Daphnia pulex: one gene and its partners. The main gene of each other region encodes a partner of the protein of the gene in region 2 in a complex. Links are inferred from orthologs where the notes say so. Each region holds a gene or a part of one and is shown on either strand. Other genes may lie near its edges.

The links.
Region 1: eukaryotic translation initiation factor 3 subunit M-like (region 2) and eukaryotic translation initiation factor 3 subunit K-like share a complex: the UniProt entries of both Caenorhabditis elegans proteins name them as parts of the eukaryotic translation initiation factor 3 (eIF-3) complex. The link is inferred for Daphnia pulex from reciprocal best matches to the Caenorhabditis elegans genes cif-1 and eif-3.K.
Region 3: eukaryotic translation initiation factor 3 subunit M-like (region 2) and COP9 signalosome complex subunit 4-like share a complex: the UniProt entries of both Caenorhabditis elegans proteins name them as parts of the CSN complex. The link is inferred for Daphnia pulex from reciprocal best matches to the Caenorhabditis elegans genes cif-1 and csn-4.

Annotation. Positions count from the first base shown.
Region 1 is NC_060028.1:2,216,294-2,222,325, forward strand, and holds eukaryotic translation initiation factor 3 subunit K-like, read right to left. Parts: upstream 1,896-6,032; 5' UTR 1,787-1,895; coding exon 1,734-1,786; intron 1,644-1,733; coding exon 1,424-1,643; intron 1,363-1,423; coding exon 1,143-1,362; intron 1,067-1,142; coding exon 909-1,066; 3' UTR 787-908; downstream 1-786. Other genes in the region: acylphosphatase-2-like, read left to right, coding at 1-78, 450-564; uncharacterized protein LOC124209413, read right to left, coding at 2,544-3,615, 3,690-3,886, 3,991-4,208, 4,328-4,481. UniProt on the Caenorhabditis elegans protein: Component of the eukaryotic translation initiation factor 3 (eIF-3) complex, which is involved in protein synthesis of a specialized repertoire of mRNAs and, together with other initiation factors, stimulates binding of mRNA and methionyl-tRNAi to the 40S ribosome.
Region 2 is NC_060019.1:9,158,120-9,164,901, forward strand, and holds eukaryotic translation initiation factor 3 subunit M-like, read right to left. Parts: upstream 3,894-6,782; 5' UTR 3,755-3,893; coding exon 3,713-3,754; intron 3,477-3,712; coding exon 3,369-3,476; intron 3,310-3,368; coding exon 3,155-3,309; intron 3,093-3,154; coding exon 2,874-3,092; intron 2,813-2,873; coding exon 2,655-2,812; intron 2,600-2,654; coding exon 2,492-2,599; intron 2,433-2,491; coding exon 2,080-2,432; 3' UTR 1,978-2,079; downstream 1-1,977. Other genes in the region: DPH3 homolog, read right to left, coding at 1,275-1,343, 1,475-1,549, 1,618-1,725; cysteine--tRNA ligase, cytoplasmic-like, read left to right, coding at 4,466-5,198, 5,264-5,491, 5,571-5,761, 5,836-6,706, 6,779-6,782. UniProt on the Caenorhabditis elegans protein: Component of the eukaryotic translation initiation factor 3 (eIF-3) complex, which is involved in protein synthesis of a specialized repertoire of mRNAs and, together with other initiation factors, stimulates binding of mRNA and methionyl-tRNAi to the 40S ribosome.
Region 3 is NC_060024.1:7,064,248-7,070,896, reverse strand, and holds COP9 signalosome complex subunit 4-like, read right to left. Parts: upstream 3,631-6,649; 5' UTR 3,483-3,630; coding exon 3,440-3,482; intron 3,344-3,439; coding exon 2,977-3,343; intron 2,912-2,976; coding exon 2,797-2,911; intron 2,661-2,796; coding exon 2,300-2,660; intron 2,248-2,299; coding exon 2,047-2,247; intron 1,985-2,046; coding exon 1,851-1,984; 3' UTR 1,820-1,850; downstream 1-1,819. Other genes in the region: HAUS augmin-like complex subunit 3, read left to right, coding at 40-313, 373-515, 577-708, 792-1,125, 1,213-1,460, 1,522-1,819; trafficking protein particle complex subunit 9-like, read right to left, coding at 4,244-4,447, 4,521-5,101, 5,508-5,882, 5,947-6,107, 6,200-6,382, 6,461-6,635. UniProt on the Caenorhabditis elegans protein: Component of the COP9 signalosome complex (CSN), a complex involved in various cellular and developmental processes.

The DNA of each region.
Region 1 (6,032 bases), on a different chromosome or scaffold from region 2:
ATCCGGATGGGTGAAAAATTCCAAAAAGGGAACCATCGTCGGTAAAGTTCAAGGAGAGAAAATTCGAATTGACGAAATGTAAGTTTTTGATTAACAAATAAGCCGACATTCCGTGTGGCGTATTGTTTTAAATAGCAATTTACAGATTTAGAACGTAGGGTGCAGAAGCAGGAGCAGCTCCGAACGATTTAAACGACGAAATGACGATTGGCATCGAGCCCATTCGAGGTTCTAGATAAGGCACACGAGTCATGGTTTGGGCAGGACACGTCGTTAAATACCTTAACTATGCTGGGCTCGTCCTCTGTAGAGCGAGGAGAAACAAGCTACTTTTAGAATCTTCCTGACCCGTCATGCGCTCGGTGCCAAAGCGGATTCGTCTGTGTGTTTAACGAGTTCTACTACTAGAAATAATTAAAATTGTTGTTCCAAACCTTTTTCCTCCACAGGGCACAATGGCTGACGAGGACAGGTAGCCCCGGATGCAAGATCGACCACACCGAGCTTCGCAATTGGGAATACCTTGCACGGCCCGAGTTCCGCGGATTCAGCATCCGTTTTTGAAGCGAATGAAAATGGTTTTTCTTTGTTTTTTCAATGTCCCGCTAATCATTTAAAACATCCACCAATTCACTTGTCAATGTAGAGGCACATGCCCACACCATATCGGCCAAAGCAGAATCGAATTTCAGAACTTTTAATTAGATGCTGCTTGAGAGGAAAACAGATTCCGGGTGTAAATACGGCGATGGGATTCACTGCTTGGGTGGTTTAACGATCATCAAATTCAAACATGACAATTGTGTATATGAAGCTGTTACAAAACAGAAATACACTGCCCTTGGAATTGTTTGTTTGTTGGTTTTTCTTTCTTCCTGTTTGCAGATCGGTCAAAGACAGTTTCACTTTTAAATGCAGTGTGACATGATTCCAGCCACGTTTTCAAATTCGATCTTCTCAGTGATGTTTTTGGTCTTGACCAAATCTTCTTGCGACGTGATGAACACACGGCCGTTGCCCAGGTCCTTCCAGCTGCACTTCCCGACCCATTGTTTCAAAACTTGATCTGAAAAGAGAGGTTTTTAAAATTAAAATGTCGAAAACCATGTTAAGAGGGAATACATGGATAATATTGCCATTACCGTTGACATTGCCAAGAAGTTCTTTTAATACCGGAACTTCAATAGTTTGATAGGTAATGTTGACAACATGAGCAACAAACTTCCTAATAGCATCTTCAAATCCTTGAACAGTAATAATTAGGTCACCACATTTGGCCAATTCCTCCCAAAACTGCTTGAATTTGCACGTTTCCAGCAAATCAGCTAGGACCATTACTCTGCTCACTTGAGGTTCTTCCAACTGAAAAGTAAAAAAATTAATTCCTATTAAATATATTAGATTAAACAATCATATTACATACCCTATCTTGAGTCAAAAGGCATTTGCACAGCAAGAAGTCTGTGTGAGGTAAATTGGTCATTGCCTTCAGTAGGATCAGATTAACAATGTTACTGCGGTAGAAATTTGGGCCAAATTGGTACAATCGCAACACACTTAGGTTGGCCTCTAGGTCATACATATTTTCTTGTGCTTGCAGTTCAACATAGCGTTCTAGCTTCTGAAGATTGTCGGGATTGTACCTAGAAATAAGAGAACAAACCGCCATTGTTCATTACAGTGTTCCTCAACTATGCAGATGGGGTTAACTTTTTCAGATTATTTTCTCTTACCTTTCAATTCCTTGTAGCATAGAAGCGATTTCTGTTTTCATCTTTTCGGCCATTATAATGAACTGTTATTGAAATTGTTAACAATCAGTAACTAGACTTTGACGGATGACGGAAATGTGGCTTTAGCAGACGCTTTCGGCCTAAGAGGCTCTGTTGCCATTTAAAGCATTATCAGCTAAGTGAAGGAGTGGAAACTTTCCATTTTCACTCTGCGATAAAAGTCGAGAATGAAACAAATAGAACGATTTTTTTTTGAGCTATAATTTAGGGCGAAAACCCTCATAAACCCCTCAGTCGGAAAATAACTCCGCTCCTTGGTAGGTGGAGCGGGTGGAGCTGTGGAGCTTCTTTCAACCAATGAAAGTGATTCGAATTTCCGCCAATTTTAAAAGTTGAAGATGTAGCTGACATTTAAATCTTTGAAAAATCTTTGACAGAAGATATTTTCACGGTACACTTAGCACTTAGCAGATTAGGCGATGGTCAAAATTCAAATGATTAAAAAAGACGACAAAAAATAAAAACTAATAACTGTTACTTGCTGCCATCAGTAACTAATTTTAATAATGGTTGCTCAAACATGCTCTATGAACCCTATTTCCCCGAGGAATTCCGAGCAAACATCAAAATGCCACCTTTATAAGATACCGAGAGAGAACATATGAGATTTCCTCGTGTTGTTACTCAAGAATAATTAAAAAAAAACAGTACCGGTAAATTACCGATATTAGGCTAATTACCGGCGGTAATTGAGTGGTTTTATCATAAAAAATGTATTACATTGTACCTTTTTATTTTTTTAACTAATAATTAGTAAGGGTGACGTATTTCTAATTCAAGTTCCCAATTGTTCTTGGTCAAAGTTTCTTCCCATTCGATGGAATCTTCAAACGTTATCTTATCGCAACGTTCCAAAATCAGTTTCTTTAGAGGGATATTCTGTTGTAAAAAAAGGTTCACACCGTATTTAGTTACTTCGTTACAGTGAGTTAACCACAATCTCTCAAGATGACGAAAGGAATTGACATGCGTTGCTTTTCGTATGATTTTGTCAGTTAGGTTATTCAAAAGTTTTATGGAAATGAATGATAGTAACGGAGAAGACAATAAGATTAACACAATTTCTGCGGGGACAAAGGAATGAAGCGAATCATCAGAACATAACATCAATTCTTCCAGATGTTTTAAGATAGGAATTTCCCTTTTATTTCCCGATTTTTGTTCTTCTTCTTTAGGCCAACGATCAAATTTGCTGCGCATATGAAGGCAAAGGTATTGAAGCTTGTGGCAAAATTGCATTATGGTTAAAATGTCTAAGTCAAGGAAGAAAACGTCAAGTTCTAATTTTGTCAAGGAATTCCCAAATTTTTTGAGAAGGGGAAGAACTCCTCCTTCAAAAGTGATACCTCCAGAATATCTAAAAGTAACTTCATTAAAGTTTAAAGGCTTTCTTTGATCGATTTCAAGGATGTAGAGGCTTTTAAGGGAAAGTAAACTAACGAGATCCGCGTCTTTTACGATTCCATCACACATCAATGTCATGTCCACTTTTGTAATGTAAGGACAGAGGAGCACCGATTTTTCAAGACTACCAGCTTTGTATACTGTATTTTTCAAAATATATAGGGCAAGCAACGCGTATTTAGGAATAGGTAGCCCTTGATCTGCAGCATTTTGAGCTATTTCAGCCAAACCGTCAATGGTTGCCTCATTCCAAAGTATTTTCAAGAAAGGCAGATTATTAAAAGCAGTTTTAATGCCTTGATTGGTTATTGCTTTGCAACCGTAGAAATTAAGTAAGCGAATGGATCTGCAATTTCCAATCACGCACAGTCCTCTAATTCCAGCGTCTGTGATGGGATGGTATCTTGCGCTTAGTATCCTGAATATTATTTAATTTTAGAATAAATCAATTTCATAAATTATCCACGATGCTGTAATAAGTTTTTTTTTTACCTTAATTCTGTACAATGTTGCCCAAGAAGATGCAAAAATGCATCCTGTGCTGAAGGAAACCGAGATAATTTGGACAAGCTGACATCAGTAGATACATCCAAAACTTGTAGTTTTGAAAACTTGCATATCAGATTAATATGAAATGGAAATGCAGAATCATAATTAAACATCAACCGCATCCGCAATATTTTCAGCTGCTATATAAGTCAGAAAAGTAGGTGTCTTTAAGAACAATCTTATTTTTTCGTAAAGAGAACGCATGTTTAAATCTTAATGTAATTTAGATACAAACTCTACTTACTTTGCTTCTTACTGAAGCCAGTCGAAGAATGTAATGTGTATCTTTTTTCCTTTGATCAAGTTTTCCACCAGCCATAAATGGTATTTCTAATTCAGTAAGGTGTGGTGTTATTAAAAGGGGAAGGTATTCAATAGCTCTTGGCCGGTATTGGTCTCCGACGAGAAATACGAAAATACTTTTACAAGTAAAGTTGAGAAAACCGTCCACAACATTTGAAGCTGGTGAAAAAAAAAAGAATAAAGACAAAAATAATAGTATCATGGCCTTTCATGGGTTGGCTTTGAGATTGAGCAGTAAAATGTAAAACCTATAAATATTAGTCCGTCGTTATACTTACGTAACTGATCAAATGGATTATTTGTGTTGTTTTCTAAATCCAGTTCGTTATCCATAAGGGCAACAATATCCGATTCACTTAGAAACAATTTCATATTGTGCAAAATTACATATTCACACAATCTTGATAGCGATTTGACACTTTTCAGTTGCATTTAGCCTGCCGAATAGCTTCTAGTTCCCGCCGTGTCGTTTAGAAGAGTATTCATTTAACCGCATTTAACACTTTGGAAGATTGATCGTATTAACCTTGATGCATGGTTGATAAAAATCCAAGGCTCTGATTGGACCTATCAAAAATAAATATCTGTTCTCGGATTTGTTTTGCCCAAAACAACATCTAGCACATCACATGATAATATGCTGACGTTTTTTATGAAGGAATACAAGGTCAGTTAAATAGAAAGAGTAAATCGATTACGCTGACGATATGTACGCCTGAGTATGCCACCATAGCCTTGAAGAAAAAGTAGAACCAAGGTCCTAATAAGCCTTATATCTTAGAACTATACGGTATATTTGATCATGTTTACTGTCCTTTAAAAAGTACTAGGAAAGCAAATATCGTTGAGGTTGGGCAATATCGATCCATTTTCAACCTATATAATCGGCATTCGAGCAAAAAAGTTTCACTTCTATAAGGACCCACTGCATTTGTTGGGCTCTTGAACAAAGGATTTGCCGTTATATTTTGCCGATATTTTGCAAAAAGTAACGGTTTAAAAACGTGTATTTGCAAACTTCCGGTAATGTTGATGATTTTCGTTCACTTTTTTCTTACAATGAAGCACTGATTATTATAAAGTCTAAGTTAACATATTAAAAAAATATGATGAACCATTGGGCGATTATAAATAGCAAGGAACGGGCGAAACACACGAGCGACTAGATTACTAAACGCTAGAAATGTATATATTTGTTTACGATTATTTTCCCACACCAAATTTGTTTCCTTCACTAGCATGTGCATCAATCCGAATCCGATGCGATTGCGTCAAAGTAATCGTTCAACTTCCGTGGAATCGGTTTGTTGGGTGTGACATTGGACATATTATTAGAAGGCGGATCATTTTTTCAGAACACTGTCATTGGGAACCACCTCTCCATACCCCTGAATATACTCCCTGTTTTCATGCGCTCTTTTCCCCACCAAATGAAAATGATGTAAGAATGACTGACTTCACATCTGCTAAATAGCTTTATAGATTATAGATGAACGCGATGAACCACCTTATTTTAGATTTGTAATTTCGTTTGGGCGAATCAATTTGAGTGATAAAATTATCAAATTTTTGAGATCATTATGTTCACAGTTTTATTAGAATTTAGAATAAAATAAACAAAAAATTAAACCTACTTCGTATTCGAAATATAAGCTAATATAAGATGATATCAGATATTTTCTCAATTATTCAATTTAAACTTTGTTATACTATCGGTGGCTATATTACCAAATATACGGGAGAGAAAAATATGCAGCATTTCTTGTCTGCTGCATAATAATGGCAACTCGATTATCTTTTATACACAGTCCACAGAAACATTTGTCATTTAAGCATAATAAAGTTGGCACACTAATTCAGAAAACACACACGTATATCGTTTAAGAAGTAAAAGCGGTTAACCCTTTTGAAGACTATCAGTATGTACAATTAATGTCAATGTTAAATGTTAATCCTAACCACATTTTCTATTTATGGAATAAC
Region 2 (6,782 bases):
AGATGATTACATTTAAAGATAAAATTGAAAAGCATGACTTGGATGCAAAATTAAACAATATAAGGAAATGGCTTTCTAAGGGCCATTTTGTTAAAGCATCCATCTCAAATGTTTCAAAAGATGAGAAAAAAGTGGTAATGGAAAATTCATAATAGTACTGTACCAAATTTATCATATTTAATCATTTCTCTTAACAATAGGAACAAATGTATAATGACTTGATGAAGGAACTTGCAAAAGAAGGCAAATTCAAAATGTTTAAAACTAGCAGCAGAGAAACTAAATTCAGCATAGAACCAATAGAGAATATTGAAACTGATGAGCAAAAGAACATAACATAACATGGCTAACTATTTCCTTTGATCCTAGTAGTTACAATACAAGTGGAAAGAAATTGTCACATTGACACATTCTCTTAAGTTTATCATCATCATCCTACAGTGTGATAAAATTCTTATTTCATGGTAATGGTAATCAAAGTCAACCTCTCTTAAGCTAATGGTTATTTTAAACATAGTTTAATTTCATTTAACTTCTAACATTAATCACTATATCAGTAATAGTTATTAATTCCCGAAACGTAAACGTTCATTAAATAACGTTCAATTAATTCGATTGAAAATTCCCGAGACCTTCGTAAAATTTCAAGTTAGGAAGTCCTCGCTAGATGCCGCACAGATCATTCTACTCCAAATGGTCGACCACGACCATGATCAAAAACTACTTCATAATAACAATCTACCCATAATTGTATACAGTATACATTGTAGGTACTGATGAAAATGAAAAATTCGTCAAGGAGTCGAGCTGCTTTTCTTCGATTTCCAATCGTTTTTGGTAAATTTAATTACAAAGCCATTGAATAGTAATTGGTTAAAAATTGTTTTCTTCATAAGGATTCATTTTGGGAACATTCTACATGGGGTTTCAATATCGGTGAGACATTGAAAGACTTGCTCAGTACAGAACTGATAAATCTCAATTTCATTCCAGCAAAGGAGATATTTGAATATTGTTTTTCATTTTAGGAAGTTGTTCATGAAAGACATAGAAGAAAAGCAAAAGGAAATGAATAAAGAAGATCCTAACAGTAGAGGATTGATCACAAGCTCAATTGGACAGATCAATCGTGAAAGAAGCAATAAGAATGATAAATGACAAGATTCATTTGTGATTCTTCATGGCAAATTTTAGAATGGACAAAATTTAATACACAAAAAAATGCAATTTCTGAAAATTATTCAATCCTACTTAAGTATACTAAAATAACTAGTTTATGTTGTGAGTGACTCTTTCTTATTTGGGGATGAATACGTGATTTCCTCGCTCTGCATGAATTCTTCCTGTATGTTTAAATAAATATGTCATTCATGAATGTAAGTAAATTTTAAAACTAAATATTAGACATATTGTGTAATGCTATACAGGCTGAAAGCCAGTTGCTTCCAGAACTTCCACTTGCTCATATACATACCTTGTTGTATATTACTTTTACTATAAGTGAACAACTCGGACATGTGGCTTCCTCTTCCCCATTTTCTAGCTGTTCCTGTTGAAATAAAAGTAAACCTTTTAATAAGCTTGGAATCTGAGTAAGGAATGGGGACGTCACATTACTTTGGTGATTTCAAACCGATCTCCACAAGGGCAAGGATAGAAGTAAATTTCACTGTCCGAATCATATTCAAAATCTTCGATTTCAACTTCATCGTGATAGACAGACATTTTCACCAAAAATTCTGAGTAATAAATAAAAGATTTTTCTCAACTACTGAAACAAAAATGTGTGGATCTTCAAAAGACAACACGTGAGAAAAAGAGACATCTGCCGGCCAAAAATCAGACTACCTGAATTAACTCACGTTTACACGTTGCATATAATAAGCATAATAAAAAAAGAATTTTTTTTTTATCTCCTACCCTACTTTCAAACAACAGTATGTTGGAAACAAAACAGAAATAATGATCAAAGTCTGATTTTGTCAGATAATGTGCCGGCGTCATCGTTTATTTCCACAAAACCTTAATAGAGATGGATAGCGGGATAATTTGAAGTCTTTTGTTTCTTCTCTAATCGGTTCAGGATTGCTGAGCGAGAAGTTCGGCTTGCTCGTTAACGATGGTTAGCATGGAATCTTTGACCTGTCTGAGGTGGCCTCGCCAAGTAGTCAGCAACTCACGCAACTGCTGCCAGTGCTGCTTGCCGAATGTCCGATGCATGGTTGATGAAACAAGCACTTTCTTGTTCAACTGATCCATTCGTGCGCGCACCAATTTCGTCTTAAGGACTTGAAGGACAAATTCCTCTACTTGATCTTCGGTTAGTTGTAATTGCTTCTCGAGCGTTTCGAAAGGGAGCTCTACGGAATTTTCAGCCAACTGCATGAAAGTCAAAATTCGCATTTTTCGAAGGTTCTGCTCATGTTTCAGACCTAAAAATCATTGTTACTTAAAATTCTTAAAAAAATACTTAAAAATTTCCAGTAAATACCTAGTCCTTCAACAAAATCTTTCTTTTCCTCATAAAACTTCAAATAAGCTGACAGCTTTTCCGTCACGAATACGGTCAACAGATCGTGCAAAAGGGCACCTTCCAAAACTGTACACAAAAATTAATTAATAACTGATTTAACTTCAAAGTAATTTTTATAAACCTTTCACAGGTTGCAAAGTCAATAAATGATCGAGAAGGAAAGTGTTGGGATCAGCCAATGAAGCAACAATGCAGCGTTGAGCTTCCTCACGAGCCTGTGAAGCATTTTCGGTCGTGTAAGTGCTCAACAACTCCACCATCACTTTGGAGGCCAGTTCACTGAATAATAACACTGGTTTGATTTATTGTTACAATTATTTGTTTAACTTCAATACTTTACCTTTCTCTGGAGTTGAGGAGAGCTTCATGTAAACTTCGGAGGAGTTTTTGCATCTGCTCGTTGTTAGGTTTGCATGGCCCTAGTTGAGTACGCATTTTATCTAGATCCGTGAACACTGTCTTCATCTGTTCCACTTGTCCAGCAACTTGGACTAGCGTGTGATAGACCGTGTAACGCGTTGTACTCACAGGATCAAGCCCATGAAATAGTACAGACAGACTAAAGAATCAAAATTATAGTTAGACAATTCATTATGTAAACTTCAAATTTCAAATGCTCACACTCTCAGACAAACAAGTCCCAACTTGTTTGAGGGGGGTTTTGCAAGCTTTTGGCAAAACGTAGTAATTATTGGTTCAGCTTTTTCATTGGGGAGAAGAACGAGCATAGATACAATGCTATTCAAGACTCCCTCAGATTCCACTTCATTGCCCTCCTTCAAAGAAGAAAATAGTGTAAACACACACTACTAATTGAAATAAAATTGTCACTTACTTTGAAACAGAGATCTGCAACAGCAACAATGTTGCTAAGATCTGAGTTTTGATCATCATCCACATTTGATGCTCCAAGAGCCTTGAAATAGCTACACAATTCAGTAGCCTAAAAAGACAGATATGAATACAATGACCAATTCAAAGCCTTGATGTCTTAAATTTTGTCTCAGTACTATATAACAGTTATTTGCTTTCTCCAGGTGGTAAAACAGGTATAAAAATTAGAAATACTAGTAGGGAAAATTGTCTATAACACAGAAAGGTGTACGCTACTGGCAGACTCCACACTTCATCGCCACAACAGTTTAGCATCTACCGGACTAAATTTATGGGGAAACTAACCTGTTCTTCGACCGTTAAATCGATAAATGCTGGTAAACTCATCCTGATAAATTGTTCAAAACAAACTGGAAAAAAAGATTCCTTTATTAGAAGTTGCTTGTCAAAAAAATCCGGATATAGGCCACGCTCACGATCCCGGTACAGAAGTTCGTCTGTAATGGCGACATTGCCACCGTGTTCCCCTACAGATAAATCAACGATTTTTTTTTTTTTTTAATTCTTTGTTTCAACACTTTCACGCTTTCCAAAATTTTCTAAAACCAGTTCTTGATTTTTTAAAATTATTATTAAAAAAATTACTACCTTTTAAAATTGCAGCATAAAAGATCACCACATTTGTTATCGCTGTTATCGGCTCACTCGCAATTTCTATCTAACTTGACGTGTTGCGGTGTTGGAAGAAACAAACCGAATACACCGTCAAAGGTACGCACCGGTTTCGGATTCATTTGATCGTTATCATTCGAACCAGCATTTATTTTTCAAATTTATTAATTGTTAACTTCCTTATAACGTTAAAGTTAACTGGTGACATTCACAAATCTGTTAACGTGCAAATCGCAAAAATATATAATAGTTGGAGTGGTTGGCAATTTAGGTAGAAGATAGAAGTAAGTAAGACATTTTAACTATTGCATCAGACATTTCAAAATATTAATGACTAGATTTTACTTACAGAGTGAGAAGTTTCGAAGGGATAAATAATAATTTTTGGAACACATTGAGAAATTGGTTGTACCTTGTTCACCTATTATGTCTGAAGCCCCCTTAAACAACAGCAGCATGGAGCTGAAGATTTACAATAGTCTGACTCGTAAGAAGGAGGTGTTTACTCCTCAGAATGGGAAAAATATCACCTGGTATTCTTGCGGACCAACAGTCTATGATGCATCCCACATGGGACATGCCCGTTCATACATGTCTTTTGATATCCTGAGAAGGGTCTTAAGAGACTACTTTGGATATGACATTACTTATGTAATGAATATCACTGATATTGACGACAAAATTATTAAAAGAGCAAGGCAAAATTATTTATATGAAAAGTATGCAACTGAGATGAGTGAACTTGAAACTCTTCAAACAGATGTCAAGGAATCTGTTGATCGTCTTTCTAAGCAAATGGCAGTAACCACCGATCCCGACAAGAAAGTTATGCAGGAGAAGATGTTGGCCAAAGTCACTGCCGCGATTGAAAAATTCACCGAAACAATCAAGCTTGGTCAAGGATTATCCGAAGCAAAGAGCTTTTTGTTGGCTGAAGCCAAAGACGTCTTGAGCGATTGGCTCGACTCGAAGCACGGCATGGATGTTTCAGATAACGCAATTTTCGCGTCTCTTCCGCGACATTGGGAAGAAGAGTTTTACAAAGATATGGCCGCTCTCAATGTTCTACCAGCCGATGTTATTACGCGTGTTAGCGAATATGTCCCGGAGATCGTGGATTACATCTCACGAATCATTGAACGTGGACTTGCATATTCAGGTGAGTTTTTATCTCTTTTTTTCTATTATCTCGTCACGGTTAATGACTCTTTTGTCATTGTATAGCAAATGGCTCTGTATACTTCAATGTCTCAAAGTTCGATTCGCAAAAGAATCACAAGTATGCGAAATTGGTACCTGAAGCTTACGGTGACTCAAAGGCATTGCAAGAAGGAGAAGGTGATCTAAGTGTCTCTGAAGATCGGTTAAGTGAGAAAAAATCACCTAACGATTTTGCGCTATGGAAAACTTCAAAGAGTGGTGAACCTTCCTGGGATTCTCCTTGGGGGAAAGGTAAAATTCAACTAAAAAATGTCGAACCAACGTAATGAATTAATAATTAAATTATTTTATTTTATTTTATTCTATTCAGGACGTCCTGGGTGGCATATTGAATGCAGTGTGATGGCAAGTGCAATTCTAGGGTCATCAATGGATATTCACACAGGAGGCGTCGACCTAAAGTTCCCTCATCACGACAATGAACTAGCCCAATCTGAAGCCTACTACGATAATGATGAATGGGTTCGCTATTTCCTTCATACTGGTCATCTGACCATCCAGGTACTATACAAACTTCCGTAAACTTTTTCCGTTCTTCCACCCAATAGAAAACTATAATGGACATTATTCTACAGGGTTGTAAAATGTCTAAATCCCTCAAGAATTTCATCACCATACAAGATGCGTTGAGTAGAAATAGCAGCCGCGAATTGCGCATCTTTTTCTTGCTTCACCCATGGAAAGAAACACTCGACTATAGTGACAGTGCAATGGATGAAGCATCGAGTTACGAAAAAATGCTAAGGGAATTCTTCTTAAATGCCAAGGATCTTTTGAGGAATGGCCCGTCATCGAATACTGCCGCAGAATATTTTCAAAAATGGAGCACAGCTGAGCAGGAAGTCAACACCCGATTCGTCGAAACGAAAAATCGAGTACGGGAAGCTCTCTGCGATAACATAGACACTAAAACGTCTCTGGAAGCGATTAAAAGCATGATATCGGCTTGCAATAAATACCTGGCACAGCTGAAGCAATCTGCCAACCGGGTTCTAATCAAGGTCATTGCCGAATATGTAACGCGGTTGTTCCAGATCTTTGGCGTGATTGAAGGCAAGCAAACCCTTGGATTCCCCTCTGAATCGTCTAGTGGAGGTACCGATAATGTTGAAGAAATCGTAATGCCTGTCCTTGAAGCGCTCGCAGACTTCCGAGAAGAAGTGAGAAAAGAGGCTCGTCAATTACGTGCAACACGCGTTCTCGAACTTTGCGATCAAATTCGAGATGACGTTTTGCCTAACCTGGGCGTAAGACTCGAAGATCGGGAAAATCAGCCTCCTGCTTTGAAGCTTGTCCCACGTGAGGAACTGCTTAAGGAGAAAGAAGACAAAAGATTGGCTGAGGAAGCCAAAAAAGCTGAGAAAGAACGTAAAAAGGCTGAATTAGCAGCCAAAGAAGCCGAAAAGGAAGCAAAACGACGCATGCCTCCCACTGAACTATTCAGAAGTAAAGATAGATTTAATTGTTTGTGCCATCAATCATTATAACTTAAATGATTAACGTGTTTCTTTGATCTAGGTGA
Region 3 (6,649 bases), on a different chromosome or scaffold from region 2:
CTTATCAGAATCTGCAATTATAACTTGATTTGATTTCAGTTCTAAAGGAAATATAATCAGCAGAAAAATTGCTGATCTTGACAGCTTGAATGCAGGCTTAGAAATAAAAAATGAAGTTCTTTTGTCAAAATTGAAGTGTACTGATGCAATGGCTAATGAAGTTTTGCAATCTGTTAATGGATTGTCATCACATGTTTTGGAGTTCTTGAATGAAGAAAAACTCTTGTGCCAAAATTCATTTAAAGAGTATTTGGCCTTTGAAGAAGAATGCACAGCCTGTTTGACTAATTACGCTAACAAACAATTTGAACAAGTCTGCATACCTAAAACATTAAAAAACTATGATTTATTAACGGTTAACTTTATTTACAGAAAATGGGGCATATGGGACAAAATTCTGGATTGGAAATGTGTGCTTTCTTACAAATTGGACAGAGCAATTTTAGAGTTCTCTTAGGGCTTGATGAGAAGGCAAGATACACACAAAACTGGGAATTAAATTGCTTGCAGCTACAGTAAGATAATGCAATTTTCAAAACTCCATACAACAGTTCTTATATATACTCTCAACTTTAGGTTGCCATTGGCTGAGGAAGACAGGACTGTAAATGAAACAGAGGTTTCATCACTAACCACAGCTATAGGTATTAGTTACCAAATTCTTACTACACTAGTTGATGGAAAATTTACTTTAAACCATGTTGATAGGTATTTTTTTTAACTGTAAAAAAAACTGAACATTTTAACAATGGGCTTATTTATCACAACTATATCAATCTTAAACTTTTTAGAGAATACCAGAATTCTTTGGACTTCAAAAGTCTGGTTTACTCAAAAGAATTAGCATCATTGAAGAACTGTGTTAAAAATGCAATTTCTAAAGCCACACAGTTACGCTGTTCTTCTATAATCGTCGGAGACTGTAGCTTAAAACTATTGAGGCAAGATTTTTTTATTGCCAAGCAGAAAGAGTTTCTTTCACTGCTGGTTCAACAATGGGCTAGAGAGCAGTTAGTACTACTTGCTGTAAGGTTTGAAGGCCGACAATTAGAAACATTGCTATCTACCTTAAAACACATTTCTCAGTATCTTCTTGAATCTGATCATCAACTTGTTGAAAGACTTGTAAGTAATATTTCACATGTGTGTTCTTTTTTGGGATCCCTTTTTTGTCCTTATATTTTAGGCTTTAAATGTTTCATTCATATTTAGGTTTCATTGAAACAGTTTGTTGATCTAGAAAAAAGCCTTCACAATAGAAACACAATTCCTAGACATGATGAAGCATCATGCTCAATGAAAACTATATTGGGTCTCCAATACAAACAGGAATGCAGGCAAGACCCTTGGGACTACTCAGAACTAATTAACTTGGCTGTTATTTTGAAAAATCATTTAGAAGAAGCCAAGTCAAATTTAGGGCAACTGAGTAGAATTGTCATAAATCAACAAAAATGCCTGTAAGGATTTTGTCATCTTTGTCTTACGTTTGGTTATTTACATTTATTTGTGTATTCATAGAGAGCAGCTGGTTTTTAAGTTGGAAGAATTGCTCTTCGGGTTTCCGCTAACGTCTAAGACGCAGAAACCTTCTAATCTACAATTTCTTGATGAAAGAATTGATACTTTGAATGTTGTAAGACGAGACGTTCAAAGTCAGTTGAAACCCTTGAACAGAAAATTCAAAACTAAACAGGTCGTTTTCAAAACTGATCATCTGAACGTACTAGAACGTAGATTATGGACGCTTTTTTACACTGATGTCACATCAATGGTTCATAGAACAAACGCTTTGAATATTAAAATAATTCCCATGTAAAAATTGTATTTCTTTTTCATACTACACAATATCAATGTACCATTTGTTCATCCATTGCTTTGGCCATCCAGTCAGGTGCTACACTAGCAATCTTCTCTATAATATTATTCACTTGATAACACAGTGACTGAATTGAACGATCCCAGGCCGGTAAGACATCACGACCTAAAATTAATCAACATTACATATTTACATTACTGTACTGTAGACAATAAATATCAACTTACTTTCGAAGTGCACGATCGAATCTATCTGATCAATTGAACCGTTCATTCGACCTTCAGTTATCATTTGTGATGCAATTTTCTCAGCTCGAAGAGGATCCACTTCTAACAAAGCTCCCAGTTCCATGAAAGTAATGTTGTTGTACAGTTTACTCGCAGCCAAAAGGTTATGTTCTGTAACAGCACGCTCGAGAATTGAAGAACCTTAAAATAATAATAAAGTGACAGTTTTCAATGAATCAGATGATATAATTACCATCCGCTGTCTTAGCCTTCTGATGAGGTTGCAGGAGTGAATCGAGCTGAACAAGTTCTTTTCGCCTTATAATACGATCGAGATACATTTTCTCCAGAATGCAGTACGCTTGCAACTGTTGACAACGCTCATCCTTAAACAAAGTTGCAAGCATTCTGCTTCTCTGTTGTCCCGCCGATGCTAATATTGTACATATTAATGCATTTCTTAAAGCCGTCATTCGTTCATCGTCATGGATTATGCTTCGGTAAGAGAGCTCATTGTAGCGCTGGGCTGCTTCAATGAATTTACGACGATAATCCAATACTCGAGCATAGCAAACTTTATAATAAACCTGTAGCTGTTCATTTTTTGACTCGGCCTATTTAAATAAATAACAATCTTTAAGCATATTATTTGTTACAGTTAATACAGCTGAATTAATAGTGTTCTCTAAAACCCACAGAAAAGTTATAATACAGTTAACATAAAGAAACTGATTTTTAAATTGCTTATACCTGTAGCAGAGAAGCCCGATTGATAAATGATTCAGCTTGCACTGGGTCATCATCTTCTAAGTAGAGGCGTGCTATTTTCAAGTAAGTCTCCAGTTTGTAGTCCAAGGAGTACTGTCTACAATGTTTGACTTGACAGTGAAATTATCATTTACACAAGTAAATACTAATTGAAAAATTTACTTTTGCCCAGTTTCCAAGGGTATTCCAACTAAGACATTAGCAGCTTCCTTCCAACATTGCTCTCTTTCAAAGATATCTGCCAAATGCTGACGAATGGATGCTACTTGCTCTTCAAAAGATATCACTCGTGGCTGGATTTTCCCTAGAGCAAAACTGCACACAGATTTTCCCATGTCATCTGTCAACTTTGGAACATGACAACTTATTTCAGACAAAATCTGGCGACTAATAACAAGTGAAACATTCTCATGAACAATTGTTTCAATTAAAGCCTTTAAGCCCTCAACGAGTCCTTCACTATCATCTTGGTTCAATATACTTTCTAAGATTAAGCGAAACTTTTCCGCCTGATCCTTATGGAATCCACCTAGGAGAAAATTCGTGAAAATTACACACCTATATATTTACACACACATGCACACATACATATATATAATTGTTAATCATATGAAATTTTTTTTACCGGAATTCACAAGTGCAGCCAATTGCTGTTTATAGTTGTACATTTTTAGTTTTAACTGAAAAATACTATTAGAACCACAGACTACGAAGTACAATAGTCAGGGAGCCCGTGTCAAAGTAGACACAAACCTTTTAAGAGAAGGTTTGACTATCAACTTTGGTTTAGGAGGGTGGGAGAACCGCGAGATGGCGCGTCTGACGATTCAGACCGGCCGGGTTCGAGAGTTATTCACTCCCGAAGTCGGCGTGATTTGGGGAAAATCACAAACTGTTTAAGAGAAAAAATTTTTCAATCGTAATTTAAAAAAAAATACACTGATTCTAACGTCAGGTCGCCAGACGTTAGAATCTGCCGTTTTGAACAAATCAGACGCAGTCAAAGTTTCACTTTTTTGTGAAATTTCACATTTCATTTAAGAAATGTATTTTTTTTTGCATAAAATAGCTGCAAGTGAATTAGATTAAAACGTAATACGTACCTCTTTGTCTTCTGTTCCTCGAAATATCGAGACAAAATTTGTATTGGCAATTTATTTCACATCAAGCATGCGTATATCCATTTATTAACATCATGCGAAACAAATCATAAAAAGTAACCAAAACGCGCATTAGTCGCAGCGTGACAGAATATTTAGCACAGGTAATAAGGGTGCATTTAAAAAAAATATTTATTATGGGCTAGGAAAGAGCCTTTATTATTCTAGAAGCAGTAAATGGTTTAAATTTTTTTGTATTTCGGACAAGCCAACTAATGAAATGAGACATGAAAAACTACATGTAAAATTTGCCTGTATCATTTTTCGAATCATAATGGTTCGGACACGATAATTTCGATCGAGGGGACAAATTTCCAAACATGTTGTTCATTAGTTGAATCATACGGAAGATTAGATTTCGATTCTCTATTTTGAGTCGAAATTTTGAGTGAGCAGACAACATCCAGCTTGTAAGTCCCCGGTGTAAAAAAAATTATGCCACAACAATGTTTGTAGTTACTGTTTGGCTCCATCTTTTTAAAGAAAGCAAAACAGAAACAGATAAGACATTTTGATACTAAAGGAGCATATAAGGAAAATAAATACCTTTTCTAGCACAGCATGATCTGATCCAATTGTAAGCAGGCGTGTGTCTAATCGCCGATGAAACGTGCCATTTTGCAGATCTTGATATACCGATATTTGAAGATTCAGCGGACCCAAAAATTTACTTAATGCATTGAATAAACCGACTGTTACATTTAATACATCTCCCACTACACATATAAATTCGGTTCTTTCAGCTGACCATATTTCATTGTTTAGTTCCACCTCCAGCTGAATTGGAGGAATATGTAGAAGATCCAGCATAGATGGAGCTATGCGCAGGCCACTCAACGAAGCTTTGCCTTTTATTACTTTAGTCGAGTTTTGTTCAATGTTTTCATTGATAGAAGTACAAGTTTGATTGACGCCAGATAAGCTCCACTTTAGCTCAACTAAGGAGGAAATATGTTCGCTGCAAATCCTGGCAATCTTTTCAAGTTGCTGTTCTGGACTCAGGTCCTTTTCAGTGTAAACATGGGTTAGCTTGACCAATGGACATCGTTCAACAGGTACTGGAATACGACACGTATCAAGCGCTTCTATGGCAATGTGTTTGCAACTGCTATACTGTAGCTCCATTTCTGCAAGTATAAGAATTTGTAACGTTAAATTTTAATCTATGCTACTTAATGTTAAGCTGATGAGAGAAATAATGTTTTAAAAAAATCATTACTACTCTCATTCTCATATGCATTCCAAGAATTTATTACACAGATGCTATAAAAAATAAACTCGTGCATCCGAGACGATGCAACGCCATCCAGAAAAACTATTTTAAATATGGTGTATCGAAACGGCGGTGAAATTTCAACCAGCGTGTGTATCGTTGAAATAAAAGCGAAGATCAAATAAATTTACTTATCGTCCAACTACGGCGGACAGAATGATAATAGCATGTGTTTTACTTTCATCGCGGGCAGTCAATCTATTATTCTTGAAATGTTTAAACTATATTAATACCTAGCAAAGAAAAGAATATTGCGTTACCGTGTTGGGTTGCGTTCAGAATGTCGAGTACTAGGTAACAGTGCGAAGGAGTTTCTGCAGGCAGCACATCCCACTTTGTAATAATGACTGATGGCAAAATTTCAACCGTTAAACCGACGCCATTTGATCGGCAAAATCCTGCAATATATCCAGGTCCTCCAGAATACTGAAGCTTAAGTAGAACTGCAACGGTGCGAGGAACAACATGGTTGTTGCCCTGACATTCAATAATACGAAGGTTGCTACTTCCTCCGGATCTGACACTAGATGTTCCTGAACGAACTGATACTAGTGATTCAGCTCGCTTAGCTTTATTCCTTGGGGAACAAGTAACTGTGGTATGATTACTTAATCGCGAAAATATTGATGGTGGACCTAGATCACATAAAATACGATAGTCAACCCTATTTTTGCTATCTATAATGAATACGAATGATACCTGATAAGCTTGGGAGACTGTTAGAGTCATCCCCCGAATGAAGATTTGAGAGATAATCAGTGATAGCTGGTAAAATAAAATCACTCGCGCCTTGGACGTAAACAGTGACACTTACGGCTGTACCAGATTGCCATGGAAGCTGAGCCTTTAAATTATCTACACTGAAGACCGTAAATGAAGAATAAAATAATTGGGCAGGTATTCAAACAACTTAAAAAAAAAGAAAAAGAAAGTTATATTTTACAAAGCTTACCTTACACTGAAGACTTGACTGGAAGATAACTTGTTACCATGAACTAATTCCAAATCAAAAGATTCGACCGATACGCTGCTCGTATTAACCAAAGTTAGATTACACTCCGTACTCTGGCCAGCATACAACTGTACTGAACTAGTCGTTGCTACAGATTGAGATTCAGATATGGTCATTAAAGTACTACAAAAATTTATGGAAACAATTAGTATTTAGTTTAGAAATAATAAATAATTGCGCAGCGGTATGTAAAAAAGTTACTGATTTGGCGATGCGATTTCAACAGATAATCGTGGTAAAGCAGGGACCACATGAATAGAAAAAAAAGCACTGCCCATTAATGGCATAGCACTTTTCAATTTGCAGTGGTTTCTCAAACCAAGCACAGTCATTGAATAGCCTACAATTTTGAGAAGTCCGGGTCTGCGTGGAATGCCTGAAAAAAAAAGG